Cricetulus griseus: one gene and its partners. The protein of the gene in region 2 interacts with the protein of the main gene of each other region in a pairwise test. Links are inferred from orthologs where the notes say so. Each region holds a gene or a part of one and is shown on either strand. Other genes may lie near its edges.

What was found. The genes of interacting proteins can lie anywhere in the genome.
Region 1: the proteins of Ptn (region 2) and Dnajb11 interact in a two-hybrid assay, tested with the Homo sapiens proteins (2 studies listed by BioGRID and IntAct). The link is inferred for Cricetulus griseus from reciprocal best matches to the Homo sapiens genes PTN and DNAJB11.
Region 3: the proteins of Ptn (region 2) and Taf1d interact in a two-hybrid assay, tested with the Homo sapiens proteins (2 studies listed by BioGRID and IntAct). The link is inferred for Cricetulus griseus from reciprocal best matches to the Homo sapiens genes PTN and TAF1D.

Annotation. Positions count from the first base shown.
Region 1 is NC_048597.1:65,997,392-66,002,642, forward strand, and holds the start of Dnajb11 (dnaJ homolog subfamily B member 11), read right to left. Parts: upstream 3,166-5,251; 5' UTR 2,983-3,165; coding exon 2,915-2,982; intron 1-2,914. UniProt on the Homo sapiens protein: As a co-chaperone for HSPA5 it is required for proper folding, trafficking or degradation of proteins.
Region 2 is NW_023276806.1:191,420,312-191,425,298, forward strand, and holds the start of Ptn (pleiotrophin), read left to right. Parts: upstream 1-1,808; coding exon 1,809-1,923; intron 1,924-3,015; coding exon 3,016-3,189; intron 3,190-4,987.
Region 3 is NC_048597.1:128,814,154-128,819,195, forward strand, and holds the start of Taf1d (TATA box-binding protein-associated factor RNA polymerase I subunit D), read left to right. Parts: upstream 1-1,877; 5' UTR 1,878-2,167; intron 2,168-3,331; 5' UTR 3,332-3,341; coding exon 3,342-3,412; intron 3,413-3,813; coding exon 3,814-4,189; intron 4,190-5,042. UniProt on the Homo sapiens protein: Component of the transcription factor SL1/TIF-IB complex, which is involved in the assembly of the PIC (preinitiation complex) during RNA polymerase I-dependent transcription.

The DNA of each region.
Region 1 (5,251 bases), on a different chromosome or scaffold from region 2:
GGCTTACTTAATGCTTATGGAGAGGGGTGAATTAAACAAAACTAAGGATAAGAAAAAAAAAACATGAAAAGCCACTACTTTGTTAACTAACTCAAAAAATATATAAAGTGGCCCCCAACATATCTTACAGTTGTATTACTCTGACAGAGGAGCTGAATTCCATTTTCAGCACCCATGATGGGTGGATTTACACCCACCTTTAACTCCAGCTTCAGGGAATTCAACACTCTTTTCTTTCTTCCACAGGCACCTGCACTTACATGTTCATGCCCGCACACAGACACACATGTACATGTACTTAAAAAATAAAATCTTAGAGACAGACAGACAGACAGACAGACAGACAGACAGACAGACAGACACACAAACACAGAGAGACCGGGGATTCTGAACATAGGTACCCTGTATGAGTGGATGTTTCCCTTAGAAGACATAGATTATGAAGTGAAAATCTCAGTGCCAGGTGTGGGAAAACTCCCTATGAGAGTTATAAGTCAGGGAGGCCCCCAGACAAGAAGCTTCACCATTGCCCATCATAACGGAAGCCCCATTGCTGATGACACACATTTTGGTTACCGGACACAGAGAAATCAAACTGAGTTGACATACAAAATTCCCGCCTTCTGGCCAGCTTTCACAGTGTCAGAAGGTTACGTAGGTTGTGTGAGGAGGAAAATTACTAATATTGACCAAAAAAGCAAGATAGTCCCACATCTGGTACAATAGTGATGTGAAGATTATGAGGTTAACCCACTGCTTTCTGACTGGACTTGAGGCCTGCTCCACAGAAGGGAATTCCTATCTGGTACTGTAAAGCTGAAAACCCGTGGCTGGCGAGGTCATAGGCCATGGGGGACAGGGAGACCTATTACTGTTGTTTTGCTAAGCAGACATGTGATTTTTAGGTTGTATCTATAATTAATACTATATCATGTAAATATTTAGGTTATATCTATAGATTCACACACTCTCAGCCTTGGTCATAGAGACTTCTTTTTACGGTGGCAGTAAATGTATCAACATAACTGGTCAAAGTGTGGAGAACAGGTAACTGCTGAGTGTTCAATCTTAAACAGAATATCTATTCCAACCTTCCCCCGCCTCTCCCCAAGTCTCCAAAGTTCAGGAACATTGTGGGAGATGGGGCAGAAAGGATGTAAAAGCATGGGAAGGGGAGGAGTGCTGTCAAATTCTGTCTTCTGGATATGGCACTCACGAATATACTCAAGTTATGGCTACCTGAACAAGACCTTTGAAAAGAGCAAGCCAATACCATTAGTCACCACTCCAGCAGCTACATCAACTAACTGGACTCAGTGAGTTACTGGATGTGGGAAGGGGCATGTTGGTGTGTGTGTGTGTGTGTGTGTGTGTGTGTGTGTGCTCGCGCTCGCGTGTGTATCTGCGGGATTTTGGGTAGGTATGATTACACTGTATGTGTATGAAACTGACAGAGAGTAAGTAAAAGACTTTTTAAAGGGGGGAAAAGGCTAAATGACAGCTCAGAAAAAAATGGCCGTCAACATTATGCTCCCCAGAGGCTACTTTATGAGTGACTGAAGTTTAAAGCTAAAGTATTAAAAGCTATTAGTATTTGCCAGGAATGGTCACCCATGTCTGCAATCCTAGCATGTGGGAAGTGGTGGCTGAAGGAGCATGAAGGAGTTCAAGATTGCCCTCAGCTACATATTGAGCTGGAGACCAGAATACCTCAACTTCCAACTCCAAAATTTTATGTTGACGTTTTGTTAAATGCTTTGGGTACTCATGAGCTTAATCAAACTAAGGGGAAACAATAAAGAATATGTAAGAAATGTGAACTTTTAGAAATTTAAAATATTTCACAAGGAAAAAAAATGACAAAATTTAAGCATACATGCAAAGAGTAAAAAACATAAGGAAACAACTTTAAAAGCTATTTGAGGTAATGCAGCAACCTACAGACTGTCAGACTCTGACACCCACTAGTTTTTGGTGTGTTTTTATTTTTGTGGTTACTTATTTATTTGAGATAGGGGATGATGTAGGCTTGGCAAGCCTGAAACTCCCTCTGGAGCTGAAGATGACCTTGAATTCTGATCCACCTGTTTTCATCTGCCAAAAGCTGGGGTGAAGGGTTCCAGCCCTCAAGAACACAAGTCTGATGTACCATATCCTTAGTCATGGGAACTATAAGGTCGTGCATTTTAAATGCTGGGAGATAGATTCTCAAAGTCTGCTCTTTCTCCCTGAAGGGAGGCACAATGCTCCCCTGGTTTCAGAACTTCGGTAAAGTTCCTTCAAACTTGTATGATTCATAAGAGTGGCAAAAGGCTAGAATCCCAGTTTTCTCACCCGTTCGTGAAGTGCTTTTCCTACTTATACCATCCAGCTCAAGGAACCATGGAGAGAGACAGTGAGGCAAGATGACAGTTCAGGCTCGCTAGCCCAAGAAGGTGGAAAGTAGGTTCTCTAAAGGTCTTGTTGCTTCCTCAAGCCAGTTTACTCCCGCGTGAGCTTGGCTTCCTTACCTGCATCTGACTTAAGAGCATCATGGCCCACCCACTTTAGTGTCAGGTCCTCGGAGGCTTGTTGCAAGCTAGGTAACCCACCGTCCCACCCTCCAGTTCAGCAAAGACGTGTCCATAACTTCAACCCCAGCTTGGCACTCACTCCCTTCCTCGGAGTTCCGTGACTCTACTACCGCTCACAGCCACTTAACTCCTTCCAATGCACAAACGTAGCATTTGGCACTGCAACCAACTCCTGCTCTTGTGGGCACTCTGGCTCCGCAGGGCCAGCCCGGCCCTCACTGCCCCTCCGTCCCTCGGCTCGGCAGTGCCGCTCCCTCACTGCCCCCTCCTCGATGCCACCCGCGTCCTTCTCAGCAAAGGCCGCCCCTCGGGCCCCGTGCCGCGCGGAGCCCCTTCCTCACCCGGCCATCACAGCCCCGATGAGGTACAGCAGCAACAGGCAGAAGGTGCTTAGGTTCTGCGGGGCCATGGTGTCGCCTGGTCCCGCACTCTCAGCCTCCCGTGCCGCTGCGTCTGCTGACCAGCCCTTCCGGCCCTGAGAGGCCGCCTCACGCCCGGGTCTCTTGCCGGGCCGCCGAGACAGCTAGCGCGCCCCCTCCTCAGCTGCCACTTTCCGGGAGCCCCAGAGCCGGCGAGCAGCCAGGCATGGGCCAATCGCCGCCGGGGACATCACACGCGGCCGCCACTCCGCAGCCAATCAGCGCGGTACACTTCACCTCCGAGGCGGCTCGGACAGCCAGTCAGACAACGGAACTGCCGCCGCTGCTGCCGGCCAATGGGAAGAGGAAACGTCAGAGGTTCGCGCCGCCCGGAAGTGCCTGCGAATAGGAGAAAATCTCAGGCGGAGGGGAGCGCGCTGCGAGGAAACCCGAGTGGTCCACCAATCGGGAGACTCCTTCCCAGCTCTGACCAATTGCTCGCAAGAGGTCTTAACTCGGTTTTCCAGTCTGGAAACTACGTCGCGTGCGCCCGGGACGCGCGGGATCCCTGAGGTGCAACCCCAGGAGGGTGGGCGATCACTCGGTGTCAGAGTACTTGGGGCGCCTTACCTAAGGATGCGATCTCACAGTACAAATTTAGTACATATAGTCTCGATTTCGTAGAAAAGAGGCCCGGTACCTTATAGAGAAGCCGCCGCGGAGACCGACTTAAGTTCAGATTCGGCTTCCAGCACTTCGCAGCGGTGAGACATCCCCACCCCCACCCCGCTTCCGAACCCGTTTTCGACAAAACTTAAGGCGTGGCGGCGTTCACTGGTAGTGTTGGGAATTTTTAATTGACATGTTTTCTGTAAGTTTTCCAGTAGAGTTGCACATAGTAAGCATGCAATCAATAAAAGCCGTTATTATAGTTCGGAGCAGAGCTTGTTCGTTGGTTCTTTTCTCCAGTTTTGTTAACTACAGAAAGCTAGTTGTTTAGCAAAGCCTCTCCTCTTAGCTTTGCTTCCTACATGAGCTATCTAGATCTTTACCAATGAACGGTATCTTGATTATGTCCAGTACAGCTCCATCTCTGGCCCAAGTCACAATTATCTCTTGCTTGCAAAGGTCTCTTAACGATCTTCTCCCTCCAAACTTTATATATCGATCCATTATTTTAATGTACTCCTACTCTCCACCCCATGATCGTGTGCATGCGTGAGCGCACTAGGGACCTGGAGACCACAGATTAGACTAGGCAGGTGGACTTGGAAGACCAAGGTCCTGTCTCTGTCTCCCCAGCTCTGGGGTTTCAGGCGGTTGTTGCCGCAGTTGCTGCTATGCGTGGAATTCAAGGTCTCCTGTTTATACAGCAAGTAAGTGGCAAGCTTTATGGACTGAACTATCTCCCCAGCGTCCTCGTGATTTTTAAAAAGTATTTCAGATCATGTCACTCTCCTGCTTAAAAGCCTCTAATGGCTTTTCAATGTACTAAAAGTAAAATGTCAACTCTATTGTAACTTACAAAGCTGTCTAGTTTAACAATCAGTATCCTCACCTCTTAAAATGTTCCAGAATAATCAGCTTCCTTCCTCCTTTTAAAAAATTTTCATTGTATATATTCATTGCATACGGCACTTTCTTGCATCAGCAAATTATGTACACGGAGCATATTCCTCCTCTTACCATATACCCTCCTACCTTTTTCTCTCTGTTCTGTTATCCCCTTCGTTTCTCTACAGTTCTGCCTCTACTTTCATGCCATATATATATATACGTATGTAATTTTAAGTACCTATATAAAATCTAGGAACCAAAACGAAAGAAAACATGTATCTGTCTCTCTGAGATTGGCTTAATTCCCTTAAGATGAATATTTCCAGCTGTATCCATTTTCCTGTAGACAGCATAACTGTATTCTTTATGTTGGAAAAAAGATCATTGTGTACATAAACTAAACTAGGTTAGTTCTGTAACTTAGCTATTGTGAATAGTGCTGGAACAAATATGGATGTTTTATCAAAACCTTTTTCTGCATTAATGAAAAAAGGCTTATTTTTCTGTGCATGGGTTCTTTGCCTGCATGTAAGCCAGTGCATGCCCGTTGCTCAAGGAGGCCAAAAGAGGTTGGAGGATCCCCTGGAACTGGAGTTGCAGATGGATGTGAGCAGCCATTTTGGTGCTCGAAATCAAATCCAGGTCTTACAGAAGAACAGTAAATGTTCTTAACCTCTGAGCCATCTCTGCAGCCTGGCTCGAAAGTGTTGTATTGAGAATTTTTACATCGTGTTCATTAGGGAGATATATCTATAATTTTGT
Region 2 (4,987 bases):
ATGTTTAGATTCTCACAATAATATATGTCATAACAGTATAGGTAAGGCAATTTACAGGTAATTTTTACACATGAAAATGAAATCTAAGTTGAAATCAAAACTGAAAAGTCCCGAGTAAAGGAGATAATTTGCCTTTTATGAATTTTCAGAAGTGTCACCACAATTCGTAGGTACTGAAAGAAGGTGCTTAGGCAGCCATTGGGGGAAGCAAGGGCTCTGGTTCACTTTGTGCCCAATCGTTTAAAATGGTGTTTGAATGTCCCCGGAAAAAGTATATCCCAGAGGTGCACAGGGGGCTCATCTCTGGGAACTCTGACAAGCTTGCAAGTCATCGAGTCCAGGCTGGCTTCCTACCTCTAATCACAAGATGAGGAGGAGTCACCTACCTGATTTGCATGGAGCAATTCAGTGAGACTGTCCTAAGAATGCAGCTTTAGGGAGAGCAAAGCTTCTAATACTGGACTGTTGCCGGGGATGGAACTGGTGTTGATTAAGCAGGGTTCATGTTTTAAAGGGCAAAGTGGTAAAAATGTTAATTTTAGTTTGTTGGTAAAATATGTTTAATCATACTATAGAATCCAGTCATTGATAGAAAAACAAAACACAACTCCAATAAGTGACAATTCTAACATTGTGGAAGTTGATACAAGATTAGTTAGTAACCATGGTATCATATTTTAGATACTTATGAATTAGGAAAACAAGATGCATAATAGAGGGAGCACAGCACACACATGTGCATACCCATGCACATACATGTGCATACTCACACACACATATTATACCCCCAGGCACACATGAGTACACACACAGGAGTAGTCTCATTATTTACTAAAGAAATTGTAAAATCATTAAAAGCTAATCTATTGCAAGTTTTGGAAAAAAGGAATACAGCTCACACTAATAATAACCAAAGATTATTTGCACACTTTTGTGTGATCTATACAACACCATTAACACAGCAGATGGAGGTAAATGACCATCAACCACGTTTCTGCAATCAGTGGCTTTTTCAGAGCAGCTTAGGCAAGGTGAATATCTTGATGGAGGGTTATCACAGCATCTTTGAGTATAACAGGGATCTTCCTAGGGTTTTCTAGGGATTTTGACTTATGTGAGATGAGCAGTATTTCAATTTCTGAGCATGTATAGTCACTGCTCTCCAGATCTGAGGATTTAGTGGTTCTTGAGTAAAATCCATTTATGAATTCTTAGTGTTATAGCATGCCAGCTCTATATTTCTGTGTTTCACTCTAATGAGCAATGGGATGATACTATGTTTAAAATGAACATGGGTAAATAAGAATCAGAAATGCTGCTCATTGGTAGATATGCCTAAATATAAAAAACACAGTCAGTACACACAAGCTACTGTACACTATCATTTGTCACGGCTGTACCGAAGATTACTGTGACTGCAACACCATGAATGTTTCTAGGAACTTCCAGGCATCCTGAAGATGACTGTAGTTGTTATTAGCAAGTGATGCAAGCAACAGGATTGATTGTAGGAATCTGCTCAAAATCATGCCACGTGGTTCTCTTGCTTTCACAACCCCAGAGTCACACATAACAAATGGCTGTGAAATCTGATACGAAGAATGATTAAATTCTGCCCATGACCACGTGATTTACTGCTTTTGCAGCTGTTGGTGAGAAAGGATAAAATTACACTTTGTAATAATCAATACAGTTTTCCTAAAACCCAGTGTTCCAGAAGCTTCACATAGCATGCTTCATCAGAGAGTTGAATCTTCATCCTGACTTAGGTTGAAATCACCTTCTTCTTGTTCTCTTCATTTCCAGAAATGTCATCCCAACAGTACCAGCAGCAACGTCGAAAATTTGCAGCTGCTTTCTTGGCATTCATTTTCATCTTGGCAGCTGTGGACACTGCTGAGGCTGGGAAGAAAGAGAAACCCGGTAAGCAGTGGAGTCACAGAGAGATGTTTCCTTGGATGGTACCCAGGCAGCCCAGCTACCTGCTTATAGTTCTCCCACAGTTTCTAACATCCTTTCAATTATTTAGGGAAACCCTAAATTGCCCCATTTTGCTCCCGAATGAACATGCCCTTGGATAGTCATGAGTGGGCTGTGGTGTTGGGGGTCTCTTTTAGTCTGTGTCCTATACACATTTCTATTATGCCTTTTTACCCACAGAACAGAACCACACCATCAATTTTCAATGAAATTTTTAGTCTGACCACTACTACTTCTAATAGACATTCCCTCCTCATTTTTCAAGCTTTTTATAAACTACTTAGAATTTTTTATTTTGACAGAAATATTTCCTTCTTAGCCAGGCATTGGTGGCACACGCCTTTAATCCCAGCACTCAGGAGGCAGAGGCGGGTGAATCTCTGTGAGTCCAGCTTGATTTACAGAGTGAGTTCCAGAAGAGTCTCCAAAGCAATACAGAGAAACCCCATCTCAAACAACAACAACAAAACAAAACAAAATAAAAATGAAAAATATTTCCTTCTTTTTGTAAAATTTTACACTCTCAAATGTTTCATCAAAGATACACAAATCTTCAAATTTCATCTGGCACAAGTGTGTTAGCTGTTTGTTGCTGCATTCAGACACTTGAGGAGTGAATTTAAGAGGAAGATGGCTTTATTTCACTTAGGGTTTCAGAGGTGTGGGCCCGTCACTGCAGGCACGCGTGGCAGAATAGCTCATATTGTGGTGGTCAGGGAGCAGGCAGAGGGACAACGCCTTCATTCAGAAACATCTTTCTAAAAGGAAATATTAGTGATTCACGTAGAACAGTCTCTATCACACACATGACTTAGTAGTATTAGTTCCGTCTCTGCCCCCATGTTTTCTTTCTTTCTCCTCTTAACCATGCATTGACTGGATCATTGAGAAGACATCCCACTGTCTTCCTGGACAATACAGATAGAGATAAAAGTCATAGACTCCACAATCGAGGTTCTGAGGTGTGAACTTAGCCATATTCAAGAGTTCAGTACATTTCTGGACGGTGGTTGCTTTTTGTTTCCTCCCTTGCAGAAAAAAAGGTGAAAAAATCTGACTGTGGAGAATGGCAGTGGAGTGTGTGTGTGCCCACCAGCGGGGACTGTGGACTGGGCACCCGGGAGGGCACTCGCACTGGTGCTGAGTGCAAGCAAACCATGAAGACCCAGAGATGTAAGATCCCTTGCAACTGGAAGAAGCAGTTTGGAGGTCAGTCTCACCCTGTGTTCTTATTGCTTTAATCTACTATTCTGAAATACTTTTGGAACAATTCTATCAAATTCATTTTCAAAGCCAACTCATGTTTATATTAAATTAAATAAATATATTTTCTTAGACACACGGTGACCAGCCAGCTTTCCTCTTAGATTCAGCACTAGTGATATCAGGGGCTGGATTTTTGTTGTTTTTGTCTTGTACATTTTAGGGTAATTAGTAACATCCTTGTCATCTACCATTATATTTTCAACCATATTTTAATACAACCTACTCTACCAGCCAGGAAAACTGAGAAAATGTCATTTGATAGCCAAAATGACAACAGAGTCATATAAATTAGACTTTAAATAGTATGGGGTATGGTTAAGACTCACTTAAAAAAAGTTTGTGAGGCAGGGCATTGGTGGCACAAGCCTTTGATCCCAGCACATGGGAGGTAGAGGCAGACTGATCGCTGTGAGTTTGAGGCCAGCCTGGTCTCCAGAGTGAGTGCCAGGATAGGCTCCAAAGCTACACAGAGAAACCTTGTCTCGAAAAACCAAAAAAACAAAAGTTTCTTAAAGGACTCCTGTCATGAACATGTATAAAAATCTCAAGAATCAATATAGAATCAAAACAAACAAGCAAACATACAACCCTAACAATCCAGGAAGATAGTGAATAAATACCAACAGACATAATTTATGAGGAGAATAGATAATAATAAATAGACACCTGGAAAGATACTCAATTTCTCTGTCCCATTAAGGGAAGAGAGATTGAAACCCTGGTGACATGTTGCTATGTACCCATCAGAATGCCTGGAATAAAAACATTATGATACCCCTGGCAGTGAAGATGCAGAGACACTAGGTTATGTAGTTACTGTCAGTAGAAATAGAAAATGGCACAGCAATACTAAAAAAGATACTACTTTTTGGAGAGGTTGCTTGTTTTATGTTTGTATGAAATTAAACATGAGTTGACCTTACCATGTAACTCAGCAGTTTCTTGGGCGTTTTTCTTCCAGAGAAAATAAAATGTTTTCACAGAACACCTTATATGAATAAATAGAATTTGCATTTGTATGTATATAAATTAGCCAAAATAAAGCAATACAGGCATCTTTTAGTTGGCGATGGATAAATAAAGTTTGGGATATCTATATCGTGGATGGTTACTCAGTTGTACAAAAACATACAATATTGATTTACACAACGTGAGTTGATAGTCACAAATTTATGGTAAGTAAGGAAGTAGCCAGTCTCAGAGCCATAGAGATGGCTCAGTTGTTAGGAACACCTGCTTTTCGTGCAGTGGACCTGGGTTAGGTTCCTCACACCCATCATTCCAGTTCAAGAGGATCATACACCATCTCCTAATTTCTGTGGGCACGAGAGTAGCCAATCACAAAAGTTTACATAGTTTAAAATCTCATTTATAGAATGAATTGAGCTGAAGAAGATTTGTGGTTGTAGGTAACTTAAGAGGTAGGAAGGCTGTGACTGTATGTAAGGTGACAATGGGACCCTGGCATTGGGATGATATGTACATTAATGGTGCTGATTACATGCATTCACATGGCTAGAACTATACATGTCCATGCATATACACAGAACTATATGCGTTCATGCATATAAAACTGAAATCTGACTCCACTCTTGGAATTCATAATTTCCATTTTATAAGATAGGCCCACAGTTGTTCAAGATGCCAAAATTGGGGAAATTGGGGGAAGCATGTATGGAATGCCCCCGTGTTATTCTTATAACTGCATAGGAATATGTGATGGCTTAAATACAAAAATGTA
Region 3 (5,042 bases), on a different chromosome or scaffold from region 2:
GGGAATGAAGGTGTGCACCACCACCAGGCCTAAAGTGTTTTTAATGTCCCATTAGAACTTAATCCTGGTAGACTTGCCATATTTGGGAGTCCACAGATAGTCAGTACTGCAGAATTCCAGATTACAGGCAAAATGTGCAAAGATCAGGAAGTAAAAGGAAAGCAAGTAAGTTAATTTGGTACATTGTTTCAGATACAGTAACAAATACATAACTTATACAAGTTAGTAAGCAGAAATCCAAACTGCAGTGATTCTGCAACTGGGCCTTATGATCTTAGTAGGCCCTAAGACCTTAGTACAACTGACTGACTCCACGATGGAAGTGCCATTAAGGCTGTAAAACTCCACCTGCCAAAACTAAAACAAAAGCCTAATCCAAATCCATAGCTCTGAGGCAGTTTCTAAATGTACTAACCTTGCTTTTTAGCTTTTATAGTTCTGCTTGGTTAGATGTTATGTTAACTGGAGTGGGTCAAATCATGACAGGATTTTTGTGCTTATAAGCTCACCCTGAGAAAGGCTTAGGGCTACACTGGGATCCCGAACACTCAGTTGGTTGCTGGCTGGCTAATAAAGTTTTTCTATTGGCTTTTAACCTATGTCTGAACACTCTTCTCTGGTGAACGCCCCACAACAATTCTGCTCATTAAGTTCTTTTCTTTTTTCAAGACAGTTTCCTGGAACTCACTCTGTAGACCAGATTGGCCTTGACTCATTGATATCTGCCTGCCTCTGCCTCCCAAGTGCTGGGATTAAAGGCCTAGAAGCTCATTAAGGTTTTTTTATTTTTTTATTTTTGGTTTTTTGAGACAGGGTTTCTCTGTGTAGCTTGTGCTGGCCTCCAACTCACAGAGATTCGCCTGCCTCTGCCTCCAGAGTGTTAGGATAAAGAGTGAGGTGAACCTTGGCAGGTTTCATGGCGGGCGAGGTTGACCGAGGCCAAGGGACAAACATTCCAGGCAGACAGCTTAAATGAAGTTTTATTAGGAAGAGGCAGGCCAGCATAATGCCTGATCCTTACACCCAGTGCTGGGATTAAGGGCATGAGTCACCACCGCCTGGCAGTACACAACATAAAGATGGTAAAACTTGTATTAATAATTCTAAATTTTCCTTACTTATGGGGAAAACATAGTCTAGGCTGGCCTGGCAATCCTCCTTCAGACTCTCCAGTTCTGCGATTTGCCACAGTTCTCAGCTATTTGTCACTTTCGTTTTGAACAGGACCCTGCAATTTAAGTTTGCACTGGTCCTGAATGTGACAGTCTGAGATGCCTGTCTTAGAGCTTACAGCGAATGCACTGGCTGCTTGCAAGTACAGCAAGACCTTACTTTTAAGGCGTGTCCAATCATAAATGATAACAACTGTTGACTAAGGGCAAGCAGATCTGCTGGCTTGCTTGTCATACAATACAAAGGTGCAGCATGGAAAATAACTCAAAGCAGCTCACTACTGAAAAGAAAGTACTGTAGGGCTAAAAACTGTTTAGCCCTACACTGTTGAGTCAACTCAGGATCTGAAGGAGGAAGCCCATGCCTGCTGGAAGCTAACTCCTGAAGGGTGGGGTGCCCAAAGCACCTGGCACCCTTCCTCTGAGGGGGAACTCCGCACACAGTGGGCTCGGCCCCACAACATGCGGACGCTCACCTGACCCGCAGTGTCTTCACGCCTGCAGGAATGCCTTCTTCCCTTCACCTACCCAAGTTCAACGTCCTGCTCCCTTCCGCCAGCTCAAAGCCTAGGGGCGAGCCCGGTACCGCCTCTCGCGGAGGCCCCGCCCACTCCACAGTCCACGCACATAGCCACGCCTAGCACGTAGCCGCGCTCTCGTACCCACCCGCCGCTAAGAGCTCACGCGAGATCTCGGCCTGCCCTAGTCGGCTGCTGCGAGCTGGAACGTTCTTTTGGTCGCGGTGGAGGAGGGAGACGGGTGTGTTTGCGTTGGGCGCTCGGGTCTGGCGCGATCGGTCGGTGCGGGACTCGGAGACCGCGCGCGGGCCCGGGCTCTTTGGGCGGCTGTCCGCGCGCAGTCGGCGCTGTTGTCGGGTGAGGCGCAGCGGGCCACGCGTGGCTCCCGGTCGCTATCGGTCGCTGCCGGAAGGTTTTAGAGTGTCCCGTCGGGGCATTGTGCTGGTGCTGCCTTCCTAGGTCGAGAAGACCGCACAGGTAGGACTGATTTCTAGATAGGTTCCTCGTGTGTACTTGGCCATTACCCTTAGAATTTTCTCCGCTCTATCGTTGGTGCAAACGGGCCAAGTATGTTACGTTGCAATTTTGATGGGCTAATACTAAAAAACAATGGGGAATGGAGAAATGGCTCTACAGCTAAGAGCACCAGCTGCTCTATCAGGGGACGTGGGTTCAATTCCTAGCAGCCACGTGGTAGTTCACAACCATTTGTAATGGGCTCTGGTTCCTATTTCTGGTATGGGTGAAACCAATGCACTATCCGTAAAATAAGTCCCCTTTTAAAGGAAAAAAGTTAATAACCCGGGAGGTGGTGGTGCATTTCTTTAATTACAGCACTCAGGAGGAAGGCGGATCTTGAGTTCGAGGCCCCGCCTGCCTCTACCTCCTGGGGTTAAAGGCGCGCACCACCACCTGGCCAGTTGCGGCCCCTTTAAAGCTGCCTTGTGGGTGCTGGGAATTTAATCTGTCCACTCAAGAGCAGTCAGTATTCTTAAAGCTAAGCCATCTCTTCAGCTGACTCACCCTAGAGGTTCTATTGTTGGGATTACAGGCCCATTGGCCATTCGGGAAATTGAGGCATACACACTGAGTGGCTAAAAATTCAGCCTTCCTAGGGTAAACATCCGAATTAATGCTGTTTCACTGTGTGGCTGGCTGGTAGTAAAGCCACTCAGGTACTTTTGTTAAGTAGAATTAGAAAACACTGATTTGGAAAGTGGTCTCTCCTTTGCTTTCACTTGTAGATTAGAATTGAATGTGTGGGTATCCAGGAAGCCAGAAACATGCCATGTTGAAGTTGTGAGCTACCCAATGTGAGTGCTGGGAACTGAACTGTGGAAGGTTACACTTTAACTGCTGTGCTCCTCACGTGGATATTTTTTTTTTTAAGACAAGGTTTTTCTATATTGAATTAGAGCCTGTCCTGAAACTAACCTGGAACTCACAGGTCTGCCTGCCTCTGCCTCCCAAATGGCTGGGATTAAAGGCGTGCACCACCAACAGCTGGCTCACTTGGATGTTTTTAAAGATCTAAAGTGGACTATCCTTAGGTCGATTTTACCTAAAGTCACATGGTGGTATGGTGTATGTTGAACTTTTCATTAGAATGCTAGGTGCATCACACTGAAATTGTAATTGCAGAGATCGAGTAATGGCTCAATCAGAAGTGACTTCTGTTGACTGCATGACACCTGATAGAGCTGCAGACATTGGACATCAAAGGTAAGGCAGCTTTTGTGACTAAACACCCTAGAGTTGAGTCTAACTGTTCAGATTGACAGGTCTCAGTAGGTGGCCTCATTCAAAGATGATCCTGCCTATTTCTCCCAAGAGCTGGAATTAAAGGCTTATCACCACACCCATTTGAAAATGTTGGGTATGATTTTGGGGGAGCTGGCTTTGGAAGAAATGTACACTTAAATTTTTAATGTCTTCTCTTATGTGACTTATGAGTGAGTGCTTTGCCTACAGTCAGTATCATGTGTTCAGAAGAGGGTGTTGAACTCCATGAAACTTGAGTTACTAATGACCATGCTGCCTGAGGGTACAGCCTTGCCACTCGTGAATTGGATTGTTTCTAGTAACGACTCAGTGATGCAGTTTATTTTATTTTATTTTTTTAGCGATGACTCATCTGATAGCTTATTTAAAACACAGTACGTTCTTTCACCTACACGAAAGCAAAGAAACCCTACGACAAAACGTGTCACTTTACCTGCAAATGTTGACACTGACACATCAAGTGACTCCTCTATAGAACCAAGGCTTTTGACTTTAAAGGCTATTTTTGAAAGATTTAAGAAAAAGAAACGGAAAAAAAGGAAATACAAGCCAAAATTAAGACCAAGAGGAAGACCACCTGGAATAAAAAATGCTAGAAACCCTAGAAGGTCACAGATAGGTGTGAAGCAAATTAAAAACAAAGGAGCTGTGTTTCCATTCTTAGAATCTGAAAATGGAAGAAAACCCTTACCTTGGAAGAAAATTTTAACATATGAGGTGAGTCATTCTCATGTAAGTGAATACACTAGGAAATTGGAATGATTGTTGCCCCCATCTTTTCTTCCTGGTTTTTCCAGACATAGTTTCTCTGGGTTTGGGTGTTGTTGGCCATTTTTAATTTGAGGTCCACCTGGGACACATTTTGTTACTTTGACAATAAACAATGTGTTCTGTGTAAAGTCTGCTCAGGTTCCAGTGTTTCTGAGTGCACTGTTTTTAGTGTGTATACAAACTTAGAGAATAATGGTCCAAGTCTGTAAATGTACAAAATACCCTCATCTTAGTCTCTAAACTACTCTCAAGCATATCTTACCCAACTTTAAATTAAGTAGCCCATCAAACCAGTCATTTCAAAGTAAGCAGATGTTATTTCGTTCTTTTTATTTTTTATGTCATTTACTTTTTTGGGGGGGTGTTTCGATACAGGGTTTTCTGTGTAGCTTTGGAGCCTATCCTGGCACTCCTTTGGAGACCAGGGTGGCCTCGAACTCGCAGAAATCTGCCTGCCTCTGCCTCCCAAGTGCTGGGACTAAAGGCGTGCTCCACCAACGCCTGCCGCAGATATTTCTAAGGCCATTTTTAGAAGTACCCAGAACAGGCTGGAGAAAGCAACATAAAGGGTGCTGCTTGTTAGCTGGTCATGTGCATTGTTAACCCAGTTGCTCTTGACCCACAATCTAGGATACACAATAGTTATCAGTCCTGTTAGTTGATACCTTCTGGTAATCCAAATGAATTTAACCTGACTAAGGACAAGGACTGGAGCGATAGATACACAGCTCAACACTTAGCTGTTCTTCCAGAGTACCCAGGTTCAATGCCCAGCATCCTACATGGTCACTCAAAGCCA